Linked DNA regions of Lonchura striata. The protein of the gene in region 1 interacts with the protein of each later gene in a biochemical or structural test. Links are inferred from orthologs where the notes say so. Each region holds a gene or a part of one and is shown on either strand. Other genes may lie near its edges.

Region 1 (7,768 bases):
AAGGGACCCAAGAGATGGTACAAATCCCATTGTTTTAATCTCAAATAATACCCACTAAAGTCTCCTCCCCTTCTCTTAAGGATGGGTTTACGCTGTTTTATGCCCTTCTGTGAAAGAGAAGCCATGTGAAATAGCAGGTATTCCCAAACTGCACCCAAAGGGGCCCTTGGCACTGCACAGAGCTGAGAGGTGCCCTTGCCAATGGTGCTGTGAGACAGGATGGCTGCAAGGTACTGATCTTTCCAGTAAAAACAGTCTGCAGCTGAGGAAGAAACATCCTTCAGGTATGGTATCCCAGATATTAACTACAAGTCCAAGGGAGGAAAACAGCTGAATAAGGTAAGGTATATTTACCAAAAAATAGACGATGAATATCAGGGAGAACTATTTCAAATTGAGGATTACAAGAAGCCTGACAAAATGACCGCACATTTAAGTTCTTGCGCCACCAAGTATTCCCAAGAGAAACCTTTTTTCATGTGTATAATTAATTGCTTAAGTTTACCCAGGAGACTGGGCATAAAACCACAACACCAGCAAAATAACGCAGAGGATATTTGATAACTGCAATTGGTCAAGCCTAGCTTTCACCACCTTCCTCACAAAGTCCAGGCTAACCTCATCTGCCCAGTATAGGAAATGGTTCAGGGATTACTCAGAAAAGGATTTCATCAAGATGTTACACCATTTCCTTCAGAAGGTCCTCCATCCATCATGATTGAGCACAGACTATGGCTACTTTTTGTGATTTTTGTAATCTCTGATGTGGTATTTCTCCAGTGGGGACTGTGGCACTGGCAAATGAAGGACACACAGTGACTTCATCTTTGCTTCCACTGAGCTGCTCTCCACACATAGTTAATGGGGCCTGGTGGAAATTATGTGAAATGCATTGAGAACATAATCAAAAAAAGCCAGTTTGGTTCTTAGTTTTCATTTCATGTAATTTGATGGGTTTTCTTACACCTTTGCTTGCATCCCTCAGTGACATACCATGGTGTAATACAGACTGCACGTAAGAACTGACATTTACTGAAGAACCAGGCTGCTGCTCTTGCCATTTTAGGTTTGGGAGCAAGCTATACAATTGAAACTATAAACTGAGGCATGATGAAGAATTTTACTTGCTAGGGTTCTAAATAAAAAGCTAACCCCTTTCAGTTTTTTCCTAAAATGGAGATTTTACTGAAGATGAGAAATGACCATGATCAGCTGTTCTATGAGAGAATCTTGAAGAAAATGTAATGTCTATGAAAACCACATCTTGGCCTAGGCAGTTTCCCCAGAGTCAGCAGGGAGTTGTGGTGATTTGGAATTTTGATCCAGCCCATTAATGAAACAGGGTCCAGCTGCAACATAGCAATTTGTGTTCTGATGCTGAGTGTTGGGGCTGCTCTGATGGAGGGCGTGAGGAAAGGCAGCCAGTTAGCATTGCCCAAGAATACCCCAAGAAAGACAAAGAAGGACTGCAGTGTTAAACCAGCTTGCAATTTTCCTCTGAGTACACATAATAAATAGGTTGTTTGAAAGAAATAGAGTTGAGGGGAGATATAGATTGCAGTTATTGAATAAAATTCTGGCTGTGTCTAAGAAAATAGATTCTCTTAGAGTGGATAAATTGCTGTTAGACACGTGGGACCCCACTCTCCTCTCCCAAATGCACTGCCCCTGCCCCCAGCTCTTGGCTACTGTGCTGCTAAGGCCAAACCTTGGGTGAATTTGTTTTGTTAACGGCTGAGGAATGCCCTATTTGGGTCAGTTTGTCTGTTTTTCCTAAACTTTCCGACACAGCTCCCAACTGGAAATTCTCTCTGTACTCTCCCCCAGACCTCCTTTAACCTGGCAAACTTTCCCAAGATGCACACAAACTCCTAAAGAAAAGTGACCAACTTTCAAGTCTCTATGTCCTAAAATAAGAATAATTTCTCTCAATCCTCCTTAAAATGGATTTGCTGCTGAAGAAGAGAAATAATTAGTCTATAATTTGCATGCTAAAATAAGGACAATCCATCTCAATCTCCCTAGAAATGGACTTCCCCATAATGTCACTTTTATGAATGTCCACAGGGTTAAAAAAAAGTTAGAATAAAATGCTGTAGAGTTAGAGCTATAATTTGCTAATATACAGAAACACAAACTCCTTTTTTTTTTTTTTTGTTCCAGATCAGATTTGGGAAAAAATTCTTTAAACCTCGGTGAGATTGTTTTCCAAAGTCAAAACTAGTCACAATGGCATCTGAAATTTGAGCCAGCTTTCAGTTGTAGTGTCCCTTAAAGTACTGTTTATGCAATGCACAGTAAACAATCTGGAAAACACACTCTTGAAAGCTATGATACATACATTGAGGGAGTCTCAACTGCCCTCACTTCTACTGGATTTAAGTAAAAAAATTAGATGTCTCTTATTTGCCCTTCTCCCCTCTTACCATTGCAATTTTTTATTATAGTCATGATGATTTCATGAGGATATTTTGTATCTTGAGACTTAAGGGAAAAAAAGAAAAACAACAAAAAACCGACTTTCTTTGCTGGCTTTAAAAATTTTAAGAGAGGAAACATTACTTGGCTCCAGTTTTAACTTTTGAAAGCTGATACGTTTGCTAGCTAGCTAGCACTTCCAGAGACTCCAGGGAAAGAATGCTACAGTCATTCCTTAGCCTCAGCTGAATCAAGAAAGAAACATCTGCTTATGAAACAACAATATAGATCCAAAGCAAAGATGAAACCAACACTTACCACTGCTAGCTCTTTGTCTGTTTTGGGAGTGCTGTCTCCAGGAAACTTTATGATTGGTGATGGTGCGGCTAAAGTTTTGTTAAAAAGATAAACTTGGATGAATAGTACTTTAAAAACGAAGCCATGGCCAATGTGAGTCTTCATTCTGCCTAAACTTGTGCTCTCCTCTTTGCAAAAAGCTTTTCCCCGCTGCCTCTCCGTTACTTTAGCTGCAAAGTGCACCAGTTGCTTATCTGCACATCTTTACTCCCAGCACCGCTTTCCCTTTTGCTTGCTCCAGCAGTTCCTTTGTATGTTTAAAACATCCAGATGCGCAGTCTCAAGCTACCACAAGAGGAAGTCTGAAAACTAGTGGAAACATGAGAAAAGGGCAGTTACCAGATGTGATTGCTGTGATTTTAAGGTAGCAACAGGCAGATAGTTACTATTGCTGCAAGAGGCCACATTTTCTCCTCATTTGCATTTACAAAAGCGTTTATTTATGCCGTAGAAGAGGAAAAAACAAAACCTGACAATCTTGAAGACAAGGTATCTCACTTTGGTATATATTTAAAATATAAATTTAAAATTTATATTTTAAATTAAAAAAAAAGAAAAAGAGAAAGAAATTACTAAACATTATTTTCCTGTCTAAGCATTTTTTTCTATTTTTTAGCCTATTTTTATGGCACAGATATAATGATATCCTTAAGTCATATGTGAATATGCTCCCACACAGTGCCTTGCAGCAAATATTTTGATTATGGATTTTGAGGCAGACCCTGCACAGGGCAGTGCAGCTGAGCACTTTGTCCCCCTCCTGCTGAGGCTACGCAGAGTGTGGGTCTGTACTTGGGGCTCCCTCCCTGCTCTCTGCACAATGTGCAGAGCTCTCAGTAACATCATTGTGCCTTGCTGGGTTCAGAACCAGCTTTGGGCTTTGCCACCAGCAGATATCACCTTACCCCCACAGGATAAAAGATAAATTAGGCAGATTCAGCAAGAGATATGAACTTCAATAAAGGATGTCAGGGAAACTGTACAAAATTCAGCGTTTGCTTGTAATGGGGGTTTGAGCACCTGGCACAACTGCCTTAATCTGAAATTTTGGTGTAAATATGGCCATTGTCATGGACAGTTGTTTATTGTGTCATTTAGAATATTGCTGGCTTTGAGGTGCTGTTACTAGTGGAATATTATTTTAGCTGAATTTCCCTAATCTAGGGATTTGACTCATGATTTTTCAAGATGGGAGGCTGGCAATTCTGCATGATTGCAAACTGTGTTCTGGCCAGCCAAGGGTCTACTGTTTCTACTGAACACAAGTCCAGCTATGAACGTTCCTCTGACCTGTATGTCATCATAAAGATTTCCAGGGCATCCCAATCAGTGCTGAATGAATATTTTCCAGGTATGACCTGTTAACAAATAGGGCTGCTAGCATGCAGGTGTTTGGTGTTCACTATTTGATAATTGGTTGTAAATAGTTAATATTGGCAGTTAGATTTATGCTAATATCAAACTATTTTGCTAACTGCACCCCATCATCCATGATGTGAATAGTCTTTCATAAAGGCAGGGATTTCAAGGAGAGGGCTGAGGGGCTCAGGGAGAAAGCATTTGCAGGGGATTTTGCTGCCCATGTCCTTCCACTGGGAGCCCAACACAGCAGCGGTGTGATGGGTTAGAAGGGCTGGGTGAATCAGCCATGGGAAAGAACACTTGAGGCTCAGGAGAGAATGAGGATTACGGGAACTTGTGTGTGACTGGAGCTGTCTTTGTCAGCAAGTGGCTTTGTACTTATCTCCACTCATCCTCTCAGGAACGAATCCAACCTGACTTGAGTTACAGTGAACAACTTTCCCCTAATGGTTCAGCTTTGAAATGACACATGGTTCTTTTAGCTTTTCCCCATCAGCAAAAATCCATGGTCATTTAAAGTGTTGCCTTAATAAACAGCAGTTCTGAAAATATGATCCAGTTTTTCCAGAGCCTGGTACTTGGTTGTGGGGAATGACTCTTCTGCTTTGTTTGTGATGACAGTTTATAATTGCATCTGGCCTTGTGACACTGTAAGAGAACAAAGGCCAAGGAAGCCTTCACTACACGTGCCAAGTTACTCTTAGGTCTCCTTAATTAAGCAAGTACAAATATTATGGATCGTGTTGCAAATTCTGCAGTTATCTCTGTGTTCCATGTTAGGTCAAAGACTGATGTAAATCTTAAGGCATGAGAACCACATCATTTTCATAAGAATTTTAATGTAATTTATGACAGCTTAGCAGCTTTCATTTAGAAGGGTACTGTGGTAAAGCAGTTTAAAGCCAAATGTGTCCTGGAACATTCCAGTTGCACTCATAAGCCTCATTGAAAACTAATGAATGCTCTGTTCTCTGTCTGTCCTAATGAATATCGGATCAGAAATGGATGAGGAATCTTTGAATAGACTGTGAGGTCTGTGAAGTTTGAAAATCTCACTGTATTTTGTTTCTTATCCTTGCTGGCAGGGAGCGTAGGTTGAGGTCATCTTTTAAATACATTTCGGAAAAGAAATTGGCAAAGCAACAGAAACCATGCAGACCTGCAGTGAAGCATTGTTTCTCACCTTTGTTTGCATTTTTGCTGGTAAATTGCTTTGCTGGTACTACTTCAGTGTGTGAGCAGTTAAGCAAGTTATGTTCAATTAGGAAACATAATACATAATAGAATATTTTATTTATGGGTATTGGGTGAACCAACAGATTGGGTTTCTGAGCAGTCAGTGAAAACATTCCCTTTCATTAGCACATGACATCAGAGATACTGTCTGAGCTGCCCTCTTTCAGATTGGCAAGGCAAAATAAATTCTGGTCACACTTTGTTAGAGTAGAAGCCTTATTGTATTGAGACTATATTTGGGGCAAAATTCTTCTTATCTCTTTGTATTTGTCTTTAAGCTCTTTGCCATCATCCTGTTCTTAGTGTGCTAGAGAGGTGCTGCTTTTACAGGCTGGGAGTGCAGTGGTGCTCAGTACTTGCAGTGGGGACGTTCTGCTGCTGGCCTCTGCTTTGAGTTGAGATTTGAGGCTGGGCTAAATGACTCCTGAGCTCTGGTACAGCCCAAATTACCCCATCACCCCACCACTCTTGCTGAATTTGAAGATATGGCATGATGTGTTTTCTTATCTCAGACTAGATAAGCCCAAAATCAGGGAGACAGGCTCTGAAGGATCTGGAGGGATGTGTTCTGACATTGACAGATTGACAGGATAACTGCTGTTAGTGTTTGCTGCATAGACATTCCTCAGCCCTCCACACTCTGAAGAGATTACCTCTGACAGTAATTAGTGACTTCTGGGTAGACTTCCTAGAAGTTAAACATTAAAGAAAGAGGCAATACAAAACACAGGGAAAGAAGAAAAAACCCTGCTGAGAGGAGAACCTAAGGCCATCTACAACTCTTCAGAAAAGCTGAAGCAATAATCTAGATCTCCTTCCTTTTACCTTAATCCTCTGTAAAATATTTTGCCTATGTAGAGAGATGCTGCCTCTGGATTAGCTACAGGAGATGAACAGAGTTGTATCTCCCACTACTGCCTTTATGTACATGTAGAAAAAAAATTAATTTCTCTGCTGCATATAATTTCTGTATTGGGTATTTATCTGGTACACATATTGAGGTATTTCTCCTGAGCCATAAAAGGCTCCTCTGTAGTTACTGAGTTTGTTTCAGGTTAGAACCACACCATATTAAAATTTTAAACCATCTACTTTGTGAGTAAGATGCCAAATGTACTTTTTAAATGTCTACTTTTGTACTAATAGTTACTGTATGGCAGACAGTCTGAGAAGGCAAATACCTCTTTTGAGGATATACTTCAATAATAATAGTAAAAAGGGAATCATAATGTCTTTTGAGCTGTAAGCTACATATCTAGGTAGATCAGACTATGGTAAGAGAAACATGAGCATGCATTAACATGCTGTGTTTATCAAAGGATTTTTCTGTTTCAGAAAATGATTTTTGAAATGATTCAGAAGCACTCAGCAGTTTCAAGATTACAGTTCTGATGGTGTCCTGGATAATTTGCTTACAGAGTAATCATCCCTCCAAAAACACACTGTAGCAATTCCTACTGTCACTAATTCCAAATTTTTTTCAGAGGCTGATGATTTCCTCATGGTTTCAGAAGAGTATGTTAGACAGAGTGTCGTGAGCACAAGCCATGGGAGGATGGTGGATTTATTCCTGGTGGGGTTTCATGTTTTAGATTGGAATCTGTTGCTAGGCTGAAGAAATAAATAAGCATCAGGACAATTAAGGTCTTAAGAAAACAGCTGATCCTCTGATTACCAGCTAAGCTGGTTCAACTAGGTGCAGTGGGATGTGTGTCTGCAAGTAAACTATTGCAGTATGTGTATGTAACCTCTTCTTGTGTGTTTTCTAGGCCATGTGCTGTCAGGTTATAGCTCCCAGTTTAGGAAACAAAGCAAGTTATTAATGGACTTCAGCAGGATTTGTGGAAAAGAAATAGCTCATTAAAGTTGTCAGAGCAACTGCAGTGTCCTCAGAGTTTTGCAATCAGAATTTCTAAGGAACTGGAAAACCCAAAGCTCAGGTGATGGAAAAGTTTGCCTGAACTTCAGGAGAGATGCCAATGAAAATATCCCAAGGTCCAGTTTAGCCAGACCTTTGGCTACTTTTTGGTTTTCCAGAGTTGCCTTCTGACTCATTATCTTTTCAGAAATCCCATTTTGCAATTTCTCCTAGATCAGCATTCCAGATTCTTTCTTCTTGTCTGGGGAAGAAAAGTTTATAACTAACAAGAAAGCAAAGAGCTTACAGAAGAAAGCACGGGACTGGACTATGCTATAAAAGGGATTTTAATGCCTTTCACCACATGTCTGACTTGTAGGACACTGTGGTAGAAGTGCAAGGCCATGAGTGTGGTGCCAGGCTGAGGCTCCCCAGAGCCTGAGGTGTGCAGGAATCATGTTCACTGCTCTTTCCCAGTGGTACCTGTCCTGAAGGTGGGCCATCTACACAAATAGCAGTAGTGACACACCAAGGGAC
Region 2 (7,666 bases), on another chromosome or scaffold:
CACCGAGGTGATAATTTTTGTGAATTTTTGGTGCTAATTCTTGATGTATTTTACAAAAAAACCGAGGATATTTTCCAAAAGAGATATTTGGAGGATCAGTTCTTCCTTGCTGTGCTCTATAAAGCAAATTCTCTGCCTGTCCCCCAGCTGGGCATGCTCCCACCCTGATCACCCTGCAGGATCCTTTTGGGGGCTGCAGGCGGCAGGAAAAGCAGCAGCAGCACTTGAAAGAAGATTGGAAGCTGAGCACAGGATATCCTCACCTTCCACACACACTGTGGATGAAATTCTTTAAAATGCTGGCACCTGAGGTGAGGCGTGGTGTGCTCCAGCTGCTGCTCTGAGCCAGCTGCTCAGCAAGCTGAGGAACTGTGCAGCAGCTTCCATTTTCACCTCAGTCACATTCTTTGGATGTTTGGCTATCCCTCCCTGTCACTCCTGTGCGGTTTGCCTTGCTGGGTTTATTTTGGTGCCACCCTGGGTGCACAGAGGGTGGGCAGGTCACAGAGCTCCTGGTTTCCAGCCAAAATCCTTCCCTTCCCAAAATCCCTCCCTCCCTGGCGCAGGGAGCTGGGTGCTGGGGCAGGGGAAAGTTTGGTCCTGAATTCTCTCTGGTCAGGAGGAAGGATTTGAGGAGTGGGGGTTACCAAAACCCTTCTGTTGTTAGTCTAAACTTGTGTGTGATGTAGAGCATCTTTCTGAAAAAACACATCTCTGCTTTGTCCAGGCCTGGCTGACTTGGAATTAAATAAACACCTCTTCCTTCTGCCTGAGTTTTGAACAGGCCTCCACTGCTGAAAATTAGGGAGAAACTCCAAAGCAGCTTCAATACGCAAATATTTCAGAGAATTCAGATTGCTGAAGAATGGGATTATAGGCTGAAAATCATCACTCAGATTAGATTGCTCCTTGTTTGTGCTGAGGTAGAAGATTTGCTTTTCTCTCAAGCTCCTGATGTGCTGCAGAGTAGCAGCAGAACATTGAAGTGCCAGTGGGAGGAAAGGGAATTCTCTGGCATTGATGTACTTGTTTTTGTAAGGAAACATTTGAATATATCCTTAATATTTAAGAAGATGGAAAGTGGCATATGCTGACAGCTTTGGGGTTTGTTTTAGCAAGGAAGAGACTGGCTGGTTGAAATTACTATAAAACCTTACCAGAAGTCCCATGTGTTAACCATCCCTGTGAATACTTTGAAATATTCTTGTTTACCAAAGATTCCTCCTACTTAAACTCCTGTGAGGGAATTCTATCAGTGGATACAACTTGAATGATTGAATATTTTTTTTTGAAAGCACATAGCCATACCTAACAACCTTCTTAAGTGGTCCCAGTAAATGGAAAAGCGCAAAATTTATAAAATAATATGCAGTGAAAGAGGAGAGATGAAACTACCTTGAAAAGCAGCCCACCTCACCTGTGCACACTCACACATTTTCATTTAGAAAGATTACCTACTTCTTGTGTGTTCCAGAAAAAAAGTAAATGATCATTTAAATGTTCATCACCATGATCATTTGAACAGCAGTGAGAGTTTGATGGTGACTTCAATTGGCTCAAGACATGTCTTCTCAATTTGAATTAATGAATATATCTCCTTATTGGAGCTGAACAAGAGTGGGAGAACCCAGTGAGATTCTGAAGCTGTGGCTTTGGGTGCTTGCTTCCCCAGCAATGTTCATACAAACGGATTTTTGTTTGTGTGAATATGAGGGAAGGACTCCTGGCCCTGCAAATATCCCTGTCCACAATGAACAAAGGGCTTGCTCCCTCAGCTGGGAATGCTCCCCTGCCTTTGGAAAGCTTGCATCATGCAGAGCTGCCACACCAGCAGAGCACAGGTGATCAGGAATCCTCCAAAACCAGATGTGTTGACACCACTCACAGAATGAAGCACATTTTTGGTGCCTTCAAAATCAAAAATAACAAACTTCTTCATCAAAATGTCATGACTTAGCAAAAAAATAAGTCCTGAATATCAAAAAACCACCCTCTGAATATAATTATTTAGCAAAAACCTCCTGAATATAAAAAAAAAAAAATCTCCTGAATATCATTATTTAGCAAAATTATTCATCAAAATATCATGATTTAGCAAAAACTTCCTGAATATCAAAAAACCTCCCTCTGAATATAATTATTTAGCAAAAACTTCCTGAATATAAAATAAATCTACCGAATATCATTATTTAGCAAAATTCTTCACCAAAATATCATGGCTTAGCAAAAACCTCCAGAATATCAAAAAACCACCCTCTTAATATAATTATTTAGCAAAAACCTCCTGAATATAAAAAAAAAAAAAAAATCTCCTGAATATCATTATTTAGCAAAATTCTTCATCAAAATATCATGATTTAACAAAAACCTCCTGAATATAAAAAACCCCCTACCTCCTGAATATCATTATTTAGCAAAAACCTCCCGAATATCTCTCAAGTTCCTGAAGTGCTGCAAAGTAGCAGCAGAACATTGAAGTGCCAGTGGGAGGAAAGGGAATTCTCTGGCATTGATGTACTTATTCCTGTAAGGAAACATTTGAATATATCCTTAATATTTAAGGATTAATTAAAACTTTCCTTTTCTTTTTTTATTTCCCTTTTTTTAATGCCTCCTGTGATTTTTTTTTTTTCATGTGGGTCTAACTGTGAGGGCAGCTGGAGACTTCTCCAGCTTTCCCTGCATTTTGTGGTAAATTATTTTGGGCTGAAATATGCAGAGGTTATCAGCATTGAACTTCAAAAAAGCTGAGTGGTTCCATGTACCTTTATTTGTTTGATTTCATACCGGATCATTTTGTGGGTATCAAGGGGATCATCACTGGCAGGAACAACCTTTTCACTGGATATTTTTGCTCGGATCACTGGAAGAGAGAGAGAGAGAGAGAGAGAGAGAGATTTAAATGCACATGCGCAGATGACAATTTTACAAGCAAAAATGGAAATTATACTGATAGATTTTGGCATTGTTTTGACACTTCAGGTACAAGTAGATTTTAAAGATTTTACCATAAGAACACCAGCTGAGCTCCTGAAAACAAAAGTAAGTGGGATGTCTGTGATGTAAATCTGGAGTCCCAAGAATGTGGAAACCTGATTGATGTTACCACTCAGTTTTGACAAAAAATGTCCATCAAAAATCTCTGGAAGACTTGAATCCCGTAAAATTTGACAAAATACCCATCATTAAATCAGTGAGCAGAGGAAAGGGACATGTCTGTTGATTACAGAATTGTTGATCAAATAAATAGTCTCGAAATTAGCCCCTAAAAGCCTGTGCCAGGCAAGATGAAAGCATTGATTTCATGCATGAAATTAGAACAATAATCTTGTATTCATTTTTCTGGAGTTTAATAGAGCACCCATTAGTTGTGTTAACCTGTAGAAATCAATTACTCCCTGTTTGGAATTACTTAATTTATTTCCTGTTCTTTAATCAAGGAGAGTAGGAGATTTTATGAAAGAAGAAATGGATTCTTTTCCCCTCTCCTTGTTTGAGGCATCTCTCTTGTGTGTGATGTTTTAAATACACCAGGAATCTTTGGAAAAAATAAAATTAGACTGAATTGCTTGGTGCCACCAAGATAAAAGTATCAGAACACAGCCTGGATTTCAGCTGAGCAGAATTTTGTTTGGCACAACTATCAGAACATACCCATTTCCTCTTTGCTTTTCAGTTTAGTTATTGACCAGGAAGCACCATCAGAAGAACAAAAGTAATTTCTTTTCTATTCCATTTCTTATTTTCTGGATTAGATGTATAATAATAATTAAAACCACCTTAAAATTGCATATGTTTCCCTTTACAAGCAAAGCTAAAGACAATAAAAAAGCAGAGACATAGTAATATTCATTGTTTTATTGTGGTTCTAAAGTGGTTCTAAGAATATGGAGCATGGCCAAAATTCCTCTGGGGATTTTATCCCCCTAAATTAGTGAGAGCCCCACTTTTACTCTGTTCTGGATGGACACTGCTGCAGCTCCTGGGTTAGAGCAGCCTGTGCTTGGGGAGAGGCACTGGCAAAGCCAGAGCAGAGCAAAGTTTTGTGACATCAAAATTACACATTCCCCCCACAAAACTCCAATTTTTTACTAGATTTGCCTCATTTTTATCATATTTAACATTATGGTTAAGGCAAAGGAATAGGAAACCCAGCCTGAAACACAGCCAGGTGCAGGTCAGTCCCACCTAACCCTGGACAATTCCCATTTCCTCACTAATTAGCTGAGCAAACTGGATGGAATAATCAACATGTTAAATTATTGTCAAAATCAACATGTTAATTATTATTAAAGCTGCAGATGGCTGCAGCTTCCAAGCTCCAGCAGGATGCTCCCTCCTCCTGAGCCATCAAACCCTTCCCGAGGAGCATTTTGGACTGGTTGGGAGGAAAGAGTTCTTTTAAGTACAAACAGCAAATTCCTCATTTCACATGGAAAGTGGCAGCATCTCTTTAATAATGTGCAGATGTGAACAACCCCACAAATTATCTGTGTGTCTGCAGTGCTCTGATCTCCTTCCAGGGGAAAAGTGCTGTGGGTTGGGTGTGCTCAACCCTGCTGGCAGGGACAAATTAGGATGGTGTTGCTTTGTTTTAAGATGCTCTCCTTTGCATCATTACTCCCTAAAAAAAAAAAAAAAAAAAAAAAAAAAGGATTTCTCATTAAAGAGTCTGTTCAGTTCTGAAGGAAAGGGCTGAGAAAACAACATTATTTTCCCAGTACCATAACATGCTTTATGTGCAGGAAATCTTTCCTGCCTACTCAGTGTGGGATAATTAAAACTGCTTTCCCCACGTGTTCAATGTTGAAACATTGTGCATTTCTATATTTTTATGAAATTCTACTTGTTAGCACATGAGGGGAAGGTTACAGATAATGCCTGATAGCTCCAGAGATCTCCATGGAGTTGTGCAAGGCTGAAAGTGAAACGTCCTGGGGTTTGTCATACAGAGATCTCTTTTTTTTAGTGGGTGTGTAGATGAAAATGAGAAGTATTTTTGTTGTGTGTGTGTTTCATTTGTTTGTTTAAGAGAAAACTTCCAGATGGCAAAGGAGGACAAATTGAGAATTTTTTTAACAGTAAGAAAGCTTAATTGTCTAAACTTTGAGCTATTTGGGTTCTACCCTTTTATTCTCCAGAAACCAAACACACAGAGATCTTTTGGCACCTTTTAATTCTTCTTGGGTTCCTTTTTATTTTTATTTTCTGTGCATTGATATTTTTTTGCCATCAGTGTCGTCTGGCTGTCTCCTTAAACCTCGGATTCATGTGGTTGCTCCTGTTTTTAACCACAAGCACTTCCTGCTGCAGCATTCCTGGGCATCTCCCTCTCCTCTCTGGTGGCTCAGGGGGCTCAGGATTCCTCCGACTCTGCACTTCTTTTCAGGACATGGTTTTGAGCATTCCAGGGCTGGCTTGGCCTCTCTGTGTGAGTGAGAACAGCCTCTGGTTGTTCAGTAATAATGTCATTTTAGCTGTTATTGCTTCCTTATGAGGAATTTGCATCTATGGAATACATAGGCACGGATTTCACGTTTCAGTGCCAGTAATTCCAAATGCCTCGGATTCGTTCTGCACTAAAAATACAGACTTTAATATTTCAGGAGGAGGATGTAGCTTCTCTGTGGACTCAACTTTGATAAAATGTCATTTTCTGCCCTCACTTTGCAGCTGGAGGTTGTCTCAGGTGACTGAACTGGAATTTGAGGTATAGGACAATGCCCAGCCTTTGGGCACTCACCTGAAATGTGTTAAGAATATATTTACTCCTTCTCTCCTGAATAGTAATGAACCTCTCCCAGCCATTTGTAAATCAGTAGGAGATCATTTTAACTGGGTAAAACAAAGCACATATTTAGTTTATTACTTGATATGTTTGTGTTTATTCAGTCAGGAGAGAAGTGTCAGGGTTTGAACAATATAGAAAGGTTTATATGCAGTAAGGGTAGAAAGATGGGCATTAACAGCATCCTTCCCAAACCTGGGTGATTTCCTTCTACATTAATTAATACTAATTAATACTAATTAAATAAACATCACTTTCTGTGTTGGGGATTTTTCTGATCATGGGGATCTACTTTTGTTACGGGTGCATTTTCCTTACTCTGAGGAAATTCCCTGCCATGAGACTGATTTTACTCCACCACAGTGGCAAAAACAATGAAATATGAAGGGAGAGAAGGCACAAAAAACTGAGCAGTCACTGCAGGGCCCATTCCAAGGCACAGATATGGATGGCATCTGGATAAACCAAATCCTTGAAATTAATGAAAATAAATATATTAATAGATAATATATTAATATTATAATAGACTAAAATAATATCTTAATACTTATATTAATATAAAATATATTATAATTAAAATATATTAATAGATAATTAACATATTGATAGACTGAAATTAATATATTCCCTAAAAGTAGTGTCCTTTTTAGACTCTGAGTTATTTCTAAGGCAATAACTGAGAGGAAACTGTTGAGTGAAGAATTACTCTCATTGTTACAAGTTATTATTAAATAAGTCATTCTGTATTATGGTATTTAATATTTTATATAATGTTACTGTACTTAAATGGTGAGTTTATCCTCAAGCTACTTTTCACAGTCCAAGTGTTAGAAGACAAGCAGCTACTCAGCTAAAATAACCAATTTTACTACTCCTTCAAAAAGGAAAGCAAGCTGGAGTTTACTCCTCAAATAAACTTTATAATCCTAAGAAGCAGGAGGTAAAATAGAAGGTAAAAAATCTGATGAAAAAATGAGGTATTTTCGTCCACTATATGTTAAGTACCAGCAACTGCATAGTGAAAAATAATTATTTAGGAAGATATTTAAGATACTGGGCATAAGAGCAAGAATTCAAGAAATTAAGATAATTAAGAATAAATTTAAAAAAATAGGATACTGCTGAACATATAACAAGAAAATATGTTATATATCAATCCTTCTGTGCATTCTTGTTTTAAATATATAAATAGATAAATAGGTAAATAGATATAGGCGCATTGAGGAAGAATCTGTTCTTCAGTTGTACCTCCAGTTCACTTCAGATTTTTGACAGGCTACGCCAGAGCTCTGTGAATAGAAATGTGATCTCCACCTCTTCTAAGCAGCCTTCCTCTCCAGAAATCAGAGAAGTTTATTTCCTATCTCACAAGTTTATAATTACAGTCAGCTTTGCTACAAAAACCTTGAAATGAGACTTCAAAAACTATATTGACAGGAAAAGATGTAAGCTACTAAAAAGTTATCAAGACTCATGAAGCTCTTTTTTTCTCTTATATTTCAAAGGCTCAATTTAGCCCTTTCATTTAATTACCTAAAATACAAAGAGTAATTTTTGAGCACTCCTTTCCAGCTGTCTCTTTAGTGTCTGACACTTCAGTCCAGCTGCTCTTAGATGTTCTTGCTCTTGGAGGGACAAGGAATAAAAGGCAAAGGAGAGGGAGCTAAATGAGAGTGTGTGGCTGTTACATGGCTGGAATGAAGATGGCATCCTAAATGTAGATAAAAAGCATCCAAAAAGGATTTTTCTGAAATAGTCAGAGTGTGCAGTATGAAATGTAGCAGAGCTACGGACACAGAATATGGATGTGCATCATTTTGAAGGTCCATAAATTCAGATTAACTTCTTTCTATAAAAGCTGTCCTTTCACCAAAGTGG

Evidence for each region.
Region 2: the proteins of MMP2 (region 1) and TIMP4 form a complex in vitro, tested with the Homo sapiens proteins (2 studies listed by BioGRID). The link is inferred for Lonchura striata from reciprocal best matches to the Homo sapiens genes MMP2 and TIMP4.

What each region holds. Positions count from the first base shown.
Region 1 is NC_134615.1:14,215,872-14,223,639, reverse strand, and holds the start of MMP2 (72 kDa type IV collagenase), read right to left. Parts: upstream 3,044-7,768; 5' UTR 2,881-3,043; coding exon 2,737-2,880; intron 1-2,736.
Region 2 is NC_134614.1:4,977,082-4,984,747, reverse strand, and holds the start of TIMP4 (metalloproteinase inhibitor 4), read right to left. Parts: upstream 3,019-7,666; 5' UTR 2,967-3,018; coding exon 2,766-2,966; intron 1-2,765. UniProt on the Homo sapiens protein: Complexes with metalloproteinases (such as collagenases) and irreversibly inactivates them by binding to their catalytic zinc cofactor. Known to act on MMP-1, MMP-2, MMP-3, MMP-7 and MMP-9.